Linked DNA regions of Coturnix japonica. The protein of the gene in region 1 binds, or shares a complex with, the protein of each later gene. Links are inferred from orthologs where the notes say so. Each region holds a gene or a part of one and is shown on either strand. Other genes may lie near its edges. The genes, in order: NTRK1 and NGF.

Region 1 (2,797 bases):
TTAGATTAGCTGTCTGAGAGGCTTAAATAGAGAGAGATTGGCCATCAGCTGGAATAAGCAGAGACTTTTCGATTGGCCCCCCAGGTATTGCTGATAGACGGGGGGGCTGCCAGAGGCATCGCTTTAGTGGCCACGCGATGAGCTCTGAGACGTGGCTTTTATGATTATTGTTATGGGACTTGGCATTAATGGTTCTGCCGAGCAGAGCCCCCTGCTCCCGGTCCAGCCTCCCCAGCCCGGCTGTCAGCAGCACTGGGCATCAAAGCAATGTGCAGCCCCCGGCCTGCTCTCACCCTTGCTCTATGCACGCCTGCTGCTTTCACACCTCCTGGCACCCAATGATGCACAGCTCAGTGCTGCCGATGTGTGAACAGCATTCCTGATGTGTGCATGCATGGGATTCCTTGCTGTGGGTGCTCTCGTGTGTGCACTAGCACCGTATGCATGCATGTGTGCACTCATATGCCTGGCTTCTCCTGCATGCATGCATACGCAGGTTGATCTGTATGTTCTTTAGCATGCATGCACACACATGCACAGCTTTCCTTGGCATGGTTGCACACTTACACACAGCCCTCTCTGTCCTGGGCTTACACACGTGTGCATACACACATATGCCTTCCTGCAGGCATGCACACACACATGCACTCCCTTCCCCACCATGCATGCACACACCTTGCATGGCTGCATACATACATGCATGTACTTTCCCTGCACGCAAGCACAGCATTTCCCAGCACATGTGCAAACACACACACAGCACTTCCAGGCACAAATGCACACACCTGCACACCTTTCCCCTGCATACATGCACACACTGATCACCCTCTGCCCTGCTAGATCCCATGGACCAGATGCAAAGATCCTGGACCAAGGGCAGGGGCAGCCCTGCGGGCAGCTGACACTGAGCCACATGCTGCAGATTGCAACGCAGATCGCTTCAGGTATGGTCTACCTGGCATCCCTGCACTTCGTGCACCGTGACCTGGCCACCCGTAACTGCCTGGTGGGCCACGACCTGGTGGTTAAAATTGGGGACTTTGGTATGTCCCGTGATATCTACAGCACCGACTACTACCGGGTGAGTTCCACACCCTCCCTACCTCTAATTTCCATCTCATCTACTGCCCCTTTCCCCAACCCCATCCATATTTAATGGCGCTGCTGAGCACTCAGCAGGGAGGGGAAGGGTTGGGGGGTTGCGGGGGGGGATACACACTGATGGTTCTGCTTTGCAGGTTGGGGGTCACACCATGCTGCCCATCCGCTGGATGCCCCCTGAGAGCATCTTGTACCGCAAGTTCACCACTGAGAGTGACATCTGGAGCTTCGGTGTGGTGCTGTGGGAGATCTTCACCTATGGGAAGCAGCCCTGGTACCAACTCTCCAACACCGAGGTGGGCTCAACATGGGGTCTCACATGGGGCTGAGTGTGAAGCCGGGCTTGGCACCATGTCCACACGTGGGATGGGGGGAAGCAAGGAACCCCCTTGCTTTGTGGGGTCTGGGTGCTTGCTGTGTGCTCCATATCCCCCTGTTCCCATAGGCCATCGAGTGCATCACGCAGGGCCGGGAGCTGGAGCGGCCCCGCACGTGTCCCTCTGAAGTGTATGATATCATGCAGAGCTGCTGGCAACGGGAGCCACAGCAGCGTCAGCGCATCCAGGACATCCACAGCCGCCTGCAGGCCCTGGTTAAGACCCCTCCTATCTACCTGGATATCCTGGGCTGAGAGGGAACCCCATCACCCCCAGGCTGGCTGGAGTGCTCTAGCACTGCTCCCTCTGTCCCCCCAACCCTGGACTGATGCCCTGATGCTGGAGAGGGCTTAAACCATCTGTCACAGCAAGACCCCTGGGGGGGGCTGTAGGGCTGGAGCTGCTTCCATAGGGGGCTGTAGCTGTGGCATTTCCCCCACTGTGGATTTGCCCCTGGAGAGACACAACCAGGACCCCCAGCCCCATGGGTGGCACTTGGCTGCTCAGTGTCATGGCTGTTCCATCCCTTCCCATCCCAGCACCTGGCTGGGTGGATGCCCCGCGTGCTCTCCCAATCTGCAGTGATCCTGGTCAGTAATAAAATTGTCCATTTCTCTGCTGCGCTGCCAGCTGGCTGCCCCATGGAGTGTCTGCTGGGTGCCTGGGGGAGGGAGGTGCTTTGGGGAGATAGAAGGGCTTTTTGGAGCAGGGGAAGAGGAACAGAGGGGGTGTGGTTGTATGGGGAAGGCTTGTCCCTACTCTATGGCATTGGGTGAGGTATAGGTTGGTGGTGGGTTTGGGTTAGGAAAAGAGTGAGGATGTGCAAAGCCAAGGTGTAGGTGAGGGGGATGCTGTCCCCAGCCCAGAGAGGGACATAGGGACACTTCAGGGACCCTCTGGCTGGCCTGGGGCTGTGCACAGTGGATGGGTCCCTGTGCCTGAGGTGTAGGGTGGGGACCTTTTGAGCACAAAGGGATGAAGAAGCCAAACCCCCCAAACAAAGGGCAAAGCCCTCCCTTCCCCACACACCGTCACCGGAGCCATGGGGTTATCAAATGCCCTGTAGCGTCCACTTAATCATCCTTCCCAGGGCTCTCCGGCCGCCTTGGTAATGTTTGAGACCTGGATTTGACTGTAATGGAGCAGAATTGATTTCATCTGGCTAATTAGGCAGGGCAGGCTGGGCCCTGGCAGCTCCTTTGTTACCCACAGTGACCTGAGATAAGAAGGAAGAGGAGACCTGGGGAAACTGAGGCACAGTGCATCACTGTGCCATGGAGCAGCTCTGTGCCATGGTGCATTGCTGTGGTGCTGTACCA
Region 2 (4,509 bases), on another chromosome or scaffold:
ATACTTTGACAGGGACTAAAGTCAGATGCAGAGAAGATGGTCAGCCATAGCTGGGCATTGAAATAGCTGAGTCTGAAGGTATTCCAACACCTGTGCATGCTTTGCACAATCCAGAAATGCTTGTAATTGCTGCATTCTTTCAAACAACCATAAGGCAAAATCTCTGCTGAGTCTGAAGAGTAATGTAATGTTCATGTCATAGCTCTGCTTGGTCTGTATGCTGCTTCCAATGGGGTTACATCCTATGTCTGTAACTGCATTTGACAATCAAGACATCCTGGCTTCAGCAGGCTCAGGCCTCTGAGATGCCTGATACATACCCAGCTAACAGAGAGAGAAAAGATTAGCTCAGATCGCATCCACAACCCACCATAAACCAACGTTTCTCATCACCACTTGCTTTGAATTGCAGTGTATTAGAAATGTATTGTGTACAAATCGATTCCCCAATGTGCTGCATGCTGCGTGTTATCGATCCGGTTGAGAAGCCATACAGCCGAAACAGCCTCAGTCTGCACTCAGTAATTGTTTGTCTGACCTATTTATCCATAACCCACCAATGACTCTTCTGCTTTTTTCCAGTAGCTTCAGCCATACACATAATACTGTAAGGACACACAAAATAAGACAAAATAAACCACTAGATTATTGTAGCTTTTAAAATTATTCTTATTTTTTGCTACTAACACAAGAAGAGAACTTGCTTTAGGACAACTCCTCTTAACCTCCTGATTAACACAACAGGGACGAGTTCCCTCCAGGTAGGTAAAAAGGAAAATATTTCCTATTGCTTTACATCCACTTTAGCCCAAGGACAAGAACTCTCAGACAAGTTTACACAAGATAGCTGTGTTTTCCAGGCATTTGTGTAACTGATGGCTTTTCCTTTAGTAAAACAAACATTACCACTTTGAATGCTTCTCTTGAGATGTTTAAAACCCTTCTTGCACTCTCACATCCAAGCACTTCCCAGCACCTAGGAAACATCTTTTTCACATAGACACTTGATATTACAAGGATGTAAATAAGTGTGTTGGAAGAAATAGGTGTCATTATCTTCATCCCAACCCTCAACATCTCTCAGAGCTTGAATTTGTGAGTTCCTCTCAGCGCTCTGACTCCTCCATAAAGGTTGTAGGAAGAGCAGCTGCTCTCATCTGTGTTGCTTCCACAGCCATAAAGATTTCAGAAATAATCCAGCACTGCTTTTATTTTTGGCAGCTTTTTTTCTTCAAAGAGCATTGGTTCTAAAAGGAAAACTGTAAGGGAAGCCTTAGGTTGGGGCTTGAACTGGTGATGGAGCACCTGGTGAAGGGGTGCTGTTGGCCTAAGGAGCAAACTGTTTGCACCTGTGCTCTCCCATGTGCCCAGATGGGCTGGACTCAATGCAGAGCCATCGTGGGTATATAAGGGTATATAAGGAGCAGCCATGGATAGGAGAGCTACTCTTGATTCTTGGCTGCTTCCTGAGGAATGCTGCATTGCCAGTGAGCCTTTCTGCCATCTGGGTGAGTTCAATTCTTCTTTTTGTATACGACTATTGGTCTACTTTGAATGTTTTGCTTGGTATTGTCAGCAGCTGTTTTTAACCTTTTTGAGCAAGACAAAAAGCTTCATTGCTTCTTCTCAGACACCTTCCATGATGTGTTTTCAGTAGCACAAAGGCACCAACTCCAGCAGAAATGCCCCTACAGTCCTTAAGCCTGCTTACAATACTGAACATACCATGTAGGCATAGGGCACAATTTTCATACCCTGTGAGTCTTCCAAGGTGATAATGTAGAAGGAAGCGGTGATGTTGTAAGACAAGGCTATGGCAATGCACAGCTGCTGCTGAGGGCTTAGGTCAATGCTTACTTCAGCCCTGGGGTCAGCAAAGCACAAAGTGCTTTACCTGTAGCCACATCTCTCAGCAGTGACAATATTTGTTTTGGTGTGAGTGCTCTTGTTTCTTTGGAATGTTACTGTGCTGTGTGGCAGTGCTTCTTAGGAAAGCACTGAATGTAATCTTAGGGGGAATATGATTTAAGGATGCTTATACAGGATGCAACAGGGAGCTTGGAACTGTCACAGAGGCAGAGAAATAAGTGGATGTAAACCTGCAGAGGACCAGGATTCACTGGTTCTGTGCTCACAGAGCTCTATATAGAGTTTCCCCTCTGATTCCAGAGCACACCTTCCCTTATGCAGCCTGACATCACTCTCCTTCACCTTTCGTGTAGCAGCTTGTCAAAGCAAGAGAACCTTCAGCTCACAAAGGTTAAGAGCAAGCATCCACGTGGTGGAACCTTTAAAATCTGTGTTTCAAAGCACTGTTAGAAGGAGGAGATCTGACCTCTGTGTGATGCTTTCAGCCACTCAGCTCTGACTATAGCAGTCCACCTGGAATTAAACACACTGTGTGTGCCCATAGCACCGCACCTACTCCAGAAGCTAAAATGGTGTTTGCTTGGGGTATGTGGGAGCATAAAAGCAGTGACTATGTGCCAGTGCTTTATCCCATAGATTGCTGCCGCTGGTGTGAGCTCAGGAGGTAGAAGAGTAAGGTGGAAGAGGAGTGTTTAGACAGAAATAATGTGTCAGATTAAGTACAAATACTATCATTACAGTGCTCCAGAGAGCTTTTGTGGCCACACACTTAAGAAAAAGGCAGCTTTTCCAAGAAATCTGTTGTAGAGATGCTGAGCATTAACATCTTATCTGCTTTGATGTTGTTTGCTGCAGCCGCAGCCCTTCAAACTCTGCAGCTCAAAGCCATCATCTGTGTATATTCTAGGAAATAGGTGCGGCAAATGCTCCCTCAGCACGGGGGTTGTTTGGTATTTCTGCAGTGAAATATGAAGTTAAGGCCAACTCCTGAGGTCAGGTTTTACAGGCAGCACTTCACACACTCTGATGACTGTCTGTGCAATTGAAAAAGGCTTTGGCCTCTGTGGATAATGTGTGGAAAGCATTTTTCTTGTAGAAAAACAAAGCAATTTGAGCTGCGGAATTCTGGCAAACCGGGGAGGTAGTTCTTGCAGTTGCATTAATCATGTTGTATATAGAACTTCCTTAAAGATGATTCAGGCCATTTTTAAACAGACACCACTTTAAAGTCCAGCGCTGAAGCTGCTGTTTTGTTTGGCACTATGAGACAGGAACAAGAGTTGTCTTCTAAGCTTAATAAGATATGAAGATCAGCTTGGTACATGTTCAAAGAGCAACACATGTGGCAAATAAGAAACACTATGATCTCCAAGCTGGTTTTTCCCTCTTGCTCCACACCTTTATGTGTTATCTTCCACATGTTGGTGTTTTTTCCCCTTGACCAAAAGATCATAGGGATGAGTCTCAGGATGGCTGCCCTCTTCTGGGTGGAATGGAAAGATGTTTATTATTGCCACACTGAGAAAATGCAGCGCTCTTATTTTCCGGGGGGGATAACGTAATGATTTTTGTTGCTCCTCTGTGCAATCACAAAAGTTAAATGGTGATGGAATGAGAATGGTGAGATCCCAGGTGGCCGCTTTGCAGTTCCCAGTGTAGGCAGCCAACTGCCTGTGGCTTTTCTTTATCTTCTATAGTTCTCCACTTTTGTGTTCCTTCTGTTGTTTATCAGTGCTTAAAACGCACCATTGTTTCCTTGCTGCATGTACTTAATCCCCCTTCATAAAAAATAATGGAAAACATTTCCCTATCTCTTTGCTGCTTAAGGTAAGCATGTTAAACACCGAATATTATGGCTGGAAGGGATTTTACATAATCTTTTCCTCTGCCCCAAGTCAGGATCAAATATTTCTTTGCTACTCTTGAGCTGCGTTTGGCTGAGCCCTGTTAAAGAGGGCCAATAGTGGGGATTTCTGCAGGCAACTCAGTGCACTGCTTCCCCAGTTAACTATTAGCATTCCTTCAGGTTTGTTTGTCGACAGATGACATGAGTGAAGGGCTCCAGAGATTAATTTCAAAAAGACCCATTAATTACAGAGCTCGGAGTTTGTTTAATTGGAGTGCAGGGATTAAGATGCAAAGTAGAAATGCTGGAGACCTAAGAAAAGAATCCCTTAAAGAGAGTGTCAGCTCTTGACAGTGGAACCAGGAAGTCAGAGGCTTTTCTTGCTATTATGCATGCACAGTCATACAACCAGTGCATGCTTTCAAACTTTCACTGCACATCTGTCCATCACTGCACGGGTTCGGCACCAAGCCAGCAGCAGAATTCCTACGAGTCTGTGCAGCTCCCACACGTTTACAGCACTAGGACCCTGAGGGAGCTTGATTTCTGTGAGTCAGTGCAGCTAGCTGAGCCCTGAGAGCAGTGAATGAGGCTGGGAAGGCAGAGGGAATGTGAATGGCTCTTCTGGCTTGGGAAAGTATCCGCAGACTGGGGTGCTACAGACTACAAAACAGCCTGGACAGCCTTCCAGATTCCCGTCCCCTCTAAGGTGAGTGACCACGCAGCAGCAGTTTTCACAAAGCGAGTTGTGTGGGATTGAACGAGTTGTGGAAGTTTGGGATCTTCAGCATCAG

The links.
Region 2: the proteins of NTRK1 (region 1) and NGF are in contact, whole or in part, in a crystal structure (PDB 1WWW), measured with the Homo sapiens proteins. The link is inferred for Coturnix japonica from reciprocal best matches to the Homo sapiens genes NTRK1 and NGF. Residues at the interface, in NP_002520.2 of Homo sapiens: His291, Val294, Glu295, Met296, His297, Cys300, Pro302, Phe303, Ser304, Leu333, Glu334, His343, Gly344, Cys345, Arg347, Thr352, His353, Met379, Asp380, Pro382; in NP_001424474.1 of Homo sapiens: His125, Pro126, Ile127, Phe128, Arg130, Gly131, Glu132, Phe133, Ser134, Ser138, Ser140, Trp142, Tyr173, Phe175, Arg180.

Annotation. Positions count from the first base shown.
Region 1 is NC_029540.1:690,710-693,506, forward strand, and holds the end of NTRK1 (high affinity nerve growth factor receptor), read left to right. Parts: intron 1-840; coding exon 841-1,081; intron 1,082-1,238; coding exon 1,239-1,397; intron 1,398-1,546; coding exon 1,547-1,732; 3' UTR 1,733-2,093; downstream 2,094-2,797. UniProt on the Homo sapiens protein: Receptor tyrosine kinase involved in the development and the maturation of the central and peripheral nervous systems through regulation of proliferation, differentiation and survival of sympathetic and nervous neurons.
Region 2 is NC_029541.1:3,993,179-3,997,687, reverse strand, and holds the start of NGF (beta-nerve growth factor), read left to right. Parts: upstream 1-1,442; 5' UTR 1,443-1,508; intron 1,509-4,059; exon of another isoform or gene 4,060-4,424; intron 4,425-4,509. UniProt on the Homo sapiens protein: Nerve growth factor is important for the development and maintenance of the sympathetic and sensory nervous systems.